Linked DNA regions of Drosophila melanogaster. The protein of the gene in region 1 interacts with the protein of each later gene in a biochemical or structural test. Each region holds a gene or a part of one and is shown on either strand. Other genes may lie near its edges. The genes, in order: nwk and WASp.

Region 1 (3,924 bases):
ATACGAATCCAAATGACACTTAATGATGAAACAAAAATGCTCAAAAACCATAATCTAAACGCTTTCGCTTGTACATAAACTATTCATAAATAAATCGCTGGGCGGCTTTCGATCGTTTAATGTGGTTCTGCTTACACGATTTGGGTGGATAACCTCTTGAACTCGGGAGCTTAACGAGCGTTTAAAGCTTGCTTAGAGTACAATCTTTAGTTTGCTTAGTTTGGAAATTGTTTCTACGACTTCTTCTTCTTCATAATCTTCATGAATAAAACCATACCTGTAAATTGAAAGGGTAATAAACTCATTAGTATAATTAAGCAGCAACAATCGAACTGCAATAAATCGAACCAATTAAGAAATGTAATTTCAAACTGAGTCACGGCAAACTTGTTTATTTGGCTTAAGTGAAGTGACTCGCAGTGTTTTCGTATTCAGTTTAAATACAATAATAATAGCAATGGAATCTAATATCTATTTATCTGTTTTCGTTCTTATAATGAATATTTATAATATTGTGATTAACATATTCAGGAAACTTGGTTTATAAACGTGTTTAAATGTGTGTTGTTGAGTTGGATAACTTAAGGTATATTTGTTAAGTAAATGAATTGGGATTTTCCAAGAGGGGTTCTTTTTTGCAGCTTGAACAAAACTTCCACAAAATACAATGACTCACCTATAAAAGTGGCAATTACGAAGGCAATCATCAGCCACAGCCAGCACTTGTAGGCTTTTTTCGAATGTTGCTCCAGTTTCTCAGCCTCTTTTCCTAGCGAATTGATATTGCGATCCGCCATTCCGGCGGAACGCGACACAACCTCCGTGTCTCTTCGGATAATCCTGTTGGCGGTCTCCGTCTGTTCCTTTAAGTTCCGAGTCAGCGAGAGCATGTGCTCGGTGATCTTCTCCTGGGCATTCGTATAATACTTGGCAGCCTGGTTCATGTTTTCACCAGAAGTTTCCTGAACGTTTGCGCTTCCAGAACTGGAGGAGGATTCATCTGCTCCTCGACGTCTTCGCAGGGCATCGGAATCTAAAATAAATGTTTTTTAAGTTATGAACTATTACATTTTTGAATTTAAGAAATTTTAAAATATGTACAAAACTGTTTGTTAATTCTTTATTACCCTGGAGCAGTTCCTTTCGCAGTTCGTTGTGATATTTGCTGTTTTGCAGCTGCCTTATTTCTTTCAGTGCATTTTCCCCAGTTTCGCTGACGGCTGAGGATTGTGAAGGAGTCTTTGTTGTGGAACCGGGAACGTCTGCATATCCGGTGGATATTTTAAGGGCCTGTAGGCGCTCCAAGTAGCCCGGGATACGTTTGACACTCTGCGGATCGCCCATCGCCTCCAGCTCGGCAAGCATTGTGTCCAGGGACTTAATGAACTTCTGCAGCCTCCAGAAGTTCTGTTCGCTTTTGGCCAGTTCCTCGCAGTTGGCCAGCAGGGTGCGAATATTTACATTTAGCTTCGTGGCCATTTTCAAGTTGAAAACATGAAAACAACAAAGTACAAATTCCTAAATTAAAATACCAGGTCGAAACCTATTTGTTGTCAGCAGCTGGTCCTATTAGCGATAGAAACTTATCGATAGGTTGTCGTGAGTAGTGATGAAAAATTATTGAGGATGTGTATGTAAAATGTAAGAATGTAAAAATGTATAAAGTAAAAAAAACATAACAAACAAATAATCTTCTAATCCTGTTAAAATTTAATTTTTAAAAATTTTTGAAAAAAAACATCAAGTTCCCAATATGCCATATTTATAAGCTTATGTCTACTTTCTCAAGATAACGTAATGCATTTATATTATTGCATGCATACTTCTGGGCGCGACTCGAAAATCTTATCAAACCTCTTGGCCAATATCTGAAGTTATCAATTAAACCGTTTTTGATAGCCACAGCATATGAGTAGTTTCACGCAAACGCACATTTTTGTTTTAGCTGTTGTCGTACGCCAGGTGTCAAGATCAAATGGCATACCATTCAAAGGTTGAATTTTTATAGTAGTTTTTTTTTCTTCATTTTCCTTAAGTGCCGTTACACGCAAGTGAGGTGTTATCAAACAGCTGACGGGGCAAAAACAATAAAACTCACCCTCTTTGTTAACGGTACTAGAGGCCATGAATGAAACACGACTTCGTTCTCTCTCGACTTTCTCTCACCGCTCTCTTTGGCGGTCTCTTCTTGCGCAGCAGCACCAGCAGTTAACGGTGCATGTTGAAAAGTTCTCACACAAACGTCGTGAAAATCGAAATCGATAAGTAAGCAACGGATTTTAGCTGCCCAGAAAAAGACCACAAATTTCAGTGAAAACCCAGCGATAAGAATCCCAAAAAGTACTAATCCAGCTGAAAAACAACCATCTTAACCGGCCATGTCCAAAAAAAGTGTTAGCCAAGTGTTTTGAATAACGTAGTTGGTGTAAATGCTTAAAAAAAATAAGCTAGTCCGGGGCCAGAGAAATCGATACGATACCCCCAAAAAAAGGGGGGCTGCTGCGTGGGCTGCCCGAGTGAAAATTTCCAGCTAAAAATAGTACTAGATTTGAGCTTGAAGAAAACCCTTGATTTCCTTTGCGTTTCGATGTCAGTTATCATTGCATTTCAGTTACATAAGTTTTGAGACCCGTTGCTGCGTAGCGAACCTATTAACGGCTTAAGGACCACACAACCACCCACATGTACCACCAACACCACCCATTTACACAGCCAAAAATAATCGGAAAATATATATATATAATAAATATCAGTAGGGCTACATTTTATCTAATCTTTAATTTGATAATGTTAGATTCTTTGATATAAGTCATGGCGTTAAAAATAAATCTCCCCTTTTAAGCCACTGAAATATAAATTTTTTTATATTAAAAAAATAAGATGGGATCTTAAATATCGTATCGTATTTTAATACCCGTATATCATATCCTCTCATAAAGCAATCATACTATTTACAGTTGCTAGAGGTAATGTAACACCATTAAGTCGGAGCTAAAATAGAAAAAAAAAGCCAATTGTAGAGTGACCCGATTGTCGTAGAAAAAGCCCCATGATGCAGCCGCCGCCGCGTAAGGTAAATCATAAATAAATCGAATTGATAAAGATAGTTCCACAATAATCATTCATCGTATACCTCGTAATCCTGCAGGGAAACTATGTGAAATTCCTCAAGAATTTGCACACGGAGCAGGTGGCCAAGCTGCAGCTGAAGAATCAGCATGAATGCGACCTCCTGGAGGACATCCGGCAGTTCACCATCAAGCGTTCCGCTGTCGAGAAGTCATACAGTGAGTCGCTGCTGAAGATCTCATCGCAGTATCTCAACAAGAAGATACCCAATATACCAGATATTAAGATGGAGGGCATGGAGGAACGCTGGTGGGTATTGCTTTCCAGCTAACTAGTAACGTTCTTTCGAGAACCTTCAGTCAATTTGAATTACCCACCTACTTATACGTAATCTCATAGGAACATGTGGAGCGTTTGGCGCACTGTGCTCGAGGAGAATGAGAAACTGGCTCGTGCTCGATTGGCCGCCATAGAGGTGTTTCAACAGCAAATCGCGGATGAGGCCAAGGTTCTGCGGGACTATAAGTTGGCCATAGCTAAGCGTTCGCTAGCCGGAATTGTCAATGTGCAGAAGGAACTCCATCTGAGCGTGGGCGATGTGGATAAGACCAAGAAATCATACTTTGACGAAGAGCATTGTGCTCACGATGTTCGGGACAAGGCCCGCGATATCGAGGAGAAGCTTAAGAAGAAGAAGGGCTCCTTCTTTCAATCAATCACTTCGCTGCAGAAGAACAGCGCCCGGGTCACATCTCGCAAGGAGCTGCTGGAGGAGAAGTCATCTGGCGCCCGGAATGACTACGTACTCAGCTTGGCGGCGGCCAATGCGCATCAGAATCGCTACTTCACCGTCGA
Region 2 (3,924 bases), on another chromosome or scaffold:
TGCCAAACGAAGTCTGGTGCCCGGCGGTTCAGGAGTTAGGTTACCAGCGAAAAAGAAGCCGACGCCGCCGCCTGAGCCGGCACCCGCACGCTTGGAACGCCAGGGAACCTTTGTCAAGGACGAGCCCACTAACTCCAATGTTCAAGTGCCCGTGGTGGAGACAAAACCGGCTCAAACCAGTCCCACTCACCGCGCCTCGAAGTTACCCACAAAGAAAGGCACGGCCAGCGGTGGGTCACCATCGAAAGCGGGCTCTCCCAAGAGGATTCCCTTGGCGCCGGCCCGCCGAATGACGCCTCAAAGGGCAAACACCAGTCTGCGACTAGCTGCGGGCAAATCTCACGCTGCCTCACGTGTGGTCTCCGGCCGCGTGTCGTCCACTACTCCACCATCCCGCAGCAACTCCAACCTAAATGGAAGCAGTGCAGCCGCAGCAGCTGCGGCCAAGATCAACCATGCGCAAAGTCGTATCGCCAACATCTGGAAGAGAGTGGACGAGGCCAAAACCAAGCAATCGTCATCCAACCTGAGGACGCAGAAAACCAAATCTTCCAACATGCTCAACGCAAATGGAACCAAGCCGACGCTCCTGCGCAGCTCCACGTTTGACAATACCCCCAGCACCGCTGGAGGAGTCAAGTCCAAGCTGCCAGTGGTGGGCGCGCGGAAATAGAGGGTTAATTTGTTCAGGATAGTATGGATCACAAATTAGCCAAGTTAAAGCGAAAACGGAAGTGGAGATTGTAAGAGGAACAGGACTGTATTTGTCAAGCATTTTTTAGGAACCGAACACGCACAGGTCCACATCCACAAGCCGAGCTAGAGTCAGAGTCAAAATCAAAGAGTTTTTAGGATAGGAGTTAATATACATACGCTATGTAATCCATATTTTACTCTCCTTTTACTTTATACATTATACGTAGACCCTAAAACTTTGTAAGCAACCAGTTTAGCATAGAGTTAGCGCAAACTCCTAGTAACTTCAACTTATCCAAATCACAGTCAGAGAAGGAAGCTCCCGATGCTCCCGATCGTGTGTAGCCAAATGTATTGCATATATATACACAAAATCAGGCCTTTCAACATGTGTACAACTACCCAATATATACAAAATGTATACTGGCATATATATAAATGCTATATATTCGATTGTCGCATTAACTAGGAAAGGTTTACCAAGTCGAATGTCTGTTCTGATTTAACTTTTTTAACACTTAGTTAGATGAGCTGTCCTCCAACTGGTGAGCTACTGAAATCAATTACAATCATATAGTTGCACATCTTTATTGAGAATATACTCTAAGTTTAAAATATGCCCCTGGCTTCCTTATGCAAACACCAAATATCTGAAGAGAGAAGAAATTCACATTTTTTAGTCACTGCTTTTTAAGTATTCTTTTATATAATTTAGCAAGTTAAGGGTAACTGTTTTAGGAAACAGCTTATGCATTAAGCTCATCATTTGCGACTTAGTTTTTACCGATTCAATGCGATTAACCATTTTCAATATGAATAAATCGAAATATGCTTTTTGTCAGCAAAAAATTAAACCAATGTGAATTTACTCGATTATAATTTATATCAAAATAAAACATATTTTGAAAGCCAGATGAACAAATATTTATTCGAATTTACGGGCGTGGTAAACAAAATCAAATTTAACGGAAAAGATAACATAAATGAAAAAATATACTATTCCCACAGCTCTCCACTCGCGATTTCTTAACGGAATTGCCTGAAACTTTTTGATAAACTTTTAAGCGGAACTAGTGATGGGCAAAATTGAAAAGTCTCGAGCATGGTCTGCACAGGGCCTTGGCAGAGCTTGATGCATATTTTAGGAAATTATCGAAAGGATAGTATTTTTAGCCTATCGCCTTTTTCGGTCGGTCACACTGGCAGCAATTGAATTGGAGTGAAAAAAAATAAATGAATAAACAAACTAGCATTGCGTCCGGGAACAGACGAATAATCAACCGAGGAACACTCGTTTTCAACGCCATGCACTCGATGACGCGGACGCGCGCACAGTAGAGCCTCCCGATAAGAGTCCCGGAATCCGCAAGGCCAGAGACTACACAGATTTTGTGGTGTGTTGTGTTGTGTGTGGGAAAAAAACGAAAGAGTGAAGAGCAGTGCACGAAAATAAACGCAAAAAATCAATGGGCGACCCCCCCAGCAGAGCAGCTCACAAGGGAAATTCGAGACCTTGAGTAGGGCAGCACATCATCCCATCCCATCCAAGCCGAACCAACCCAACCCATGAACTTACTCCCAATCCGCAGCAGCGTCTGTCTATTTACATTTGCATTTTCACCCCACCTGGCGCGACGACGGACAGGTGTTGTCACAAATCTTGGAGCTACGGAGTGGCGCACAGTGGGGTGGATTGGCTGGTGGCTTGTGGCGAGTGCCGAATGTTGAGTAACCCAGACCACTGTGCATGTATCACACATAGATACATGCGCACACCTAATCAGTGCTTTTCGCCAAAGATAAGGGCTCTTTTCGAAGAGTTTGCCACTGGCCTGGCTTTTGCCCACATTCAAACGCAGCTGGCTGGCTTGCTGGCTGACTGTTTCTGTTTCTGCTTCTGATTTCCGACTCTCGGGCACCGTGACTCAGACCAGGCGATCCGCTCGCAGCCCCGCCGACACCATAACCAGCTACATCGTCATAGCCAGCGCAGGTCTCGGTCTCTCTCGCTCGCGCTCTTGGCCGTAATTCGGGCTGAAAACCATTCAAAACCGTAAAGACAATACTGTCAATCGATTCAGCAGTCCCAAAACCATAATTCTTCGATCCCAAATCGGGTTATTCGCAACACACTTCGGACTCCGTTGCTCAAACTCTCTGTAGATCGGAGTTTTTACAAGCTGTACACTGTACAAAAAAATAGGCAGCCTATCCAAGTGTAGTTATCTTTTTATATTCGAAGGCGTTGACTGCAATAATTCATTTAAACGTTAAATATTATACAGTTTCTGAACTCTTTAGTATATTTATGGGAGCTCAAACTTTTCATATTGTATCGTCAACCCTACGATCCCAAACTTTTGTTCACTCTATCGAAGTTCAACTGTTACTCCGTGTGCCTTTATTGTTATGAACTTTTTACTTTTTCGGGGTCCCCAGCGTTTTGTGATATTAAATTAATACATTTAGCTTTTGTTCATTTGCGTATTGTTTTCGCCACACAATAAAATGCGTATTGTGTCCGTATTGTGCAGGGAAACCAGCCCAGATCCCCATATCCAGCACCAGACCCAGATCCAACGAAACCGGCCAGATGAGCAGCGGAATGAGGTCGCAGGACGGTCCACGGGCGAAGGTCAATGCCGCCAGTACGCTGCTCACCCAGGAGGAGAATGAGGCCGTCTTCAAGCTGCTGGGCAAGAAGTGCCAGGTGAGTCGAGTACTGATGATGCATAATGCCCCCAATCGGGTGATTAATAATTAAGCAATGACATGGTTTGTGTTCCTCCGCCTTCGCCGAGCAAATCCCACGGCTTGATGAAGCACTTCCTGCGGCTCAAGTGTCGCCCATCGTGTGCGAATTTCACTCGAAGCACAGTAACCCTATATCATAATATCATTCTACGGTCTACGGGCAGCTGCCTGTCATATTTACCAAATTTCACTTGCACACTGCCCAACATAGTTGAATGGTTTCTTTGCCCATTTAAAGATGGCACCGGAAGCTAAACTGTGAACAAAATTAGAGTTCTATGCACTATAGTTAGTTGGTCAGCTATAAAACTTGCATGGGAGTATCGTACACATTATTAGCTTTGGTTTTGATTGAAAGACATACTCTTTTGCTGGAAAGTCTACTTGAGTCAGTGCAGATAACCATTTAGATTAATGTTCTCTGTACTATACAAAAAAAAAACAAGATGAATCATTGTTACACAGATGTTTTAT

Evidence for each region.
Region 2: of the proteins of nwk (region 1) and WASp, one has a biochemical effect on the other in vitro, tested with the Drosophila melanogaster proteins (one study listed by BioGRID).

Annotation. Positions count from the first base shown.
Region 1 is NT_037436.4:9,135,625-9,139,548, forward strand, and holds the start of nwk (nervous wreck), read left to right. Parts: upstream 1-2,235; 5' UTR 2,236-2,265; exon of another isoform or gene 2,266-2,340; intron 2,341-2,957; 5' UTR 2,958-3,052; coding exon 3,053-3,073; intron 3,074-3,148; coding exon 3,149-3,378; intron 3,379-3,468; coding exon 3,469-3,924. Other genes in the region: Use1 (unconventional SNARE in the ER 1), read right to left, coding at 234-277, 677-1,033, 1,128-1,479. UniProt on the Drosophila melanogaster protein: Adapter protein that provides a link between vesicular membrane traffic and the actin assembly machinery. Acts together with Cdc42 to stimulate actin nucleation mediated by WASp and the ARP2/3 complex.
Region 2 is NT_033777.3:28,829,984-28,833,907, reverse strand, and holds the start of WASp (WASp), read left to right. Parts: upstream 1-1,883; 5' UTR 1,884-2,090; intron 2,091-2,594; exon of another isoform or gene 2,595-2,689; intron 2,690-2,767; exon of another isoform or gene 2,768-2,914; intron 2,915-3,230; 5' UTR 3,231-3,289; coding exon 3,290-3,406; intron 3,407-3,924. Other genes in the region: Apc (APC-like), read left to right, coding at 1-673.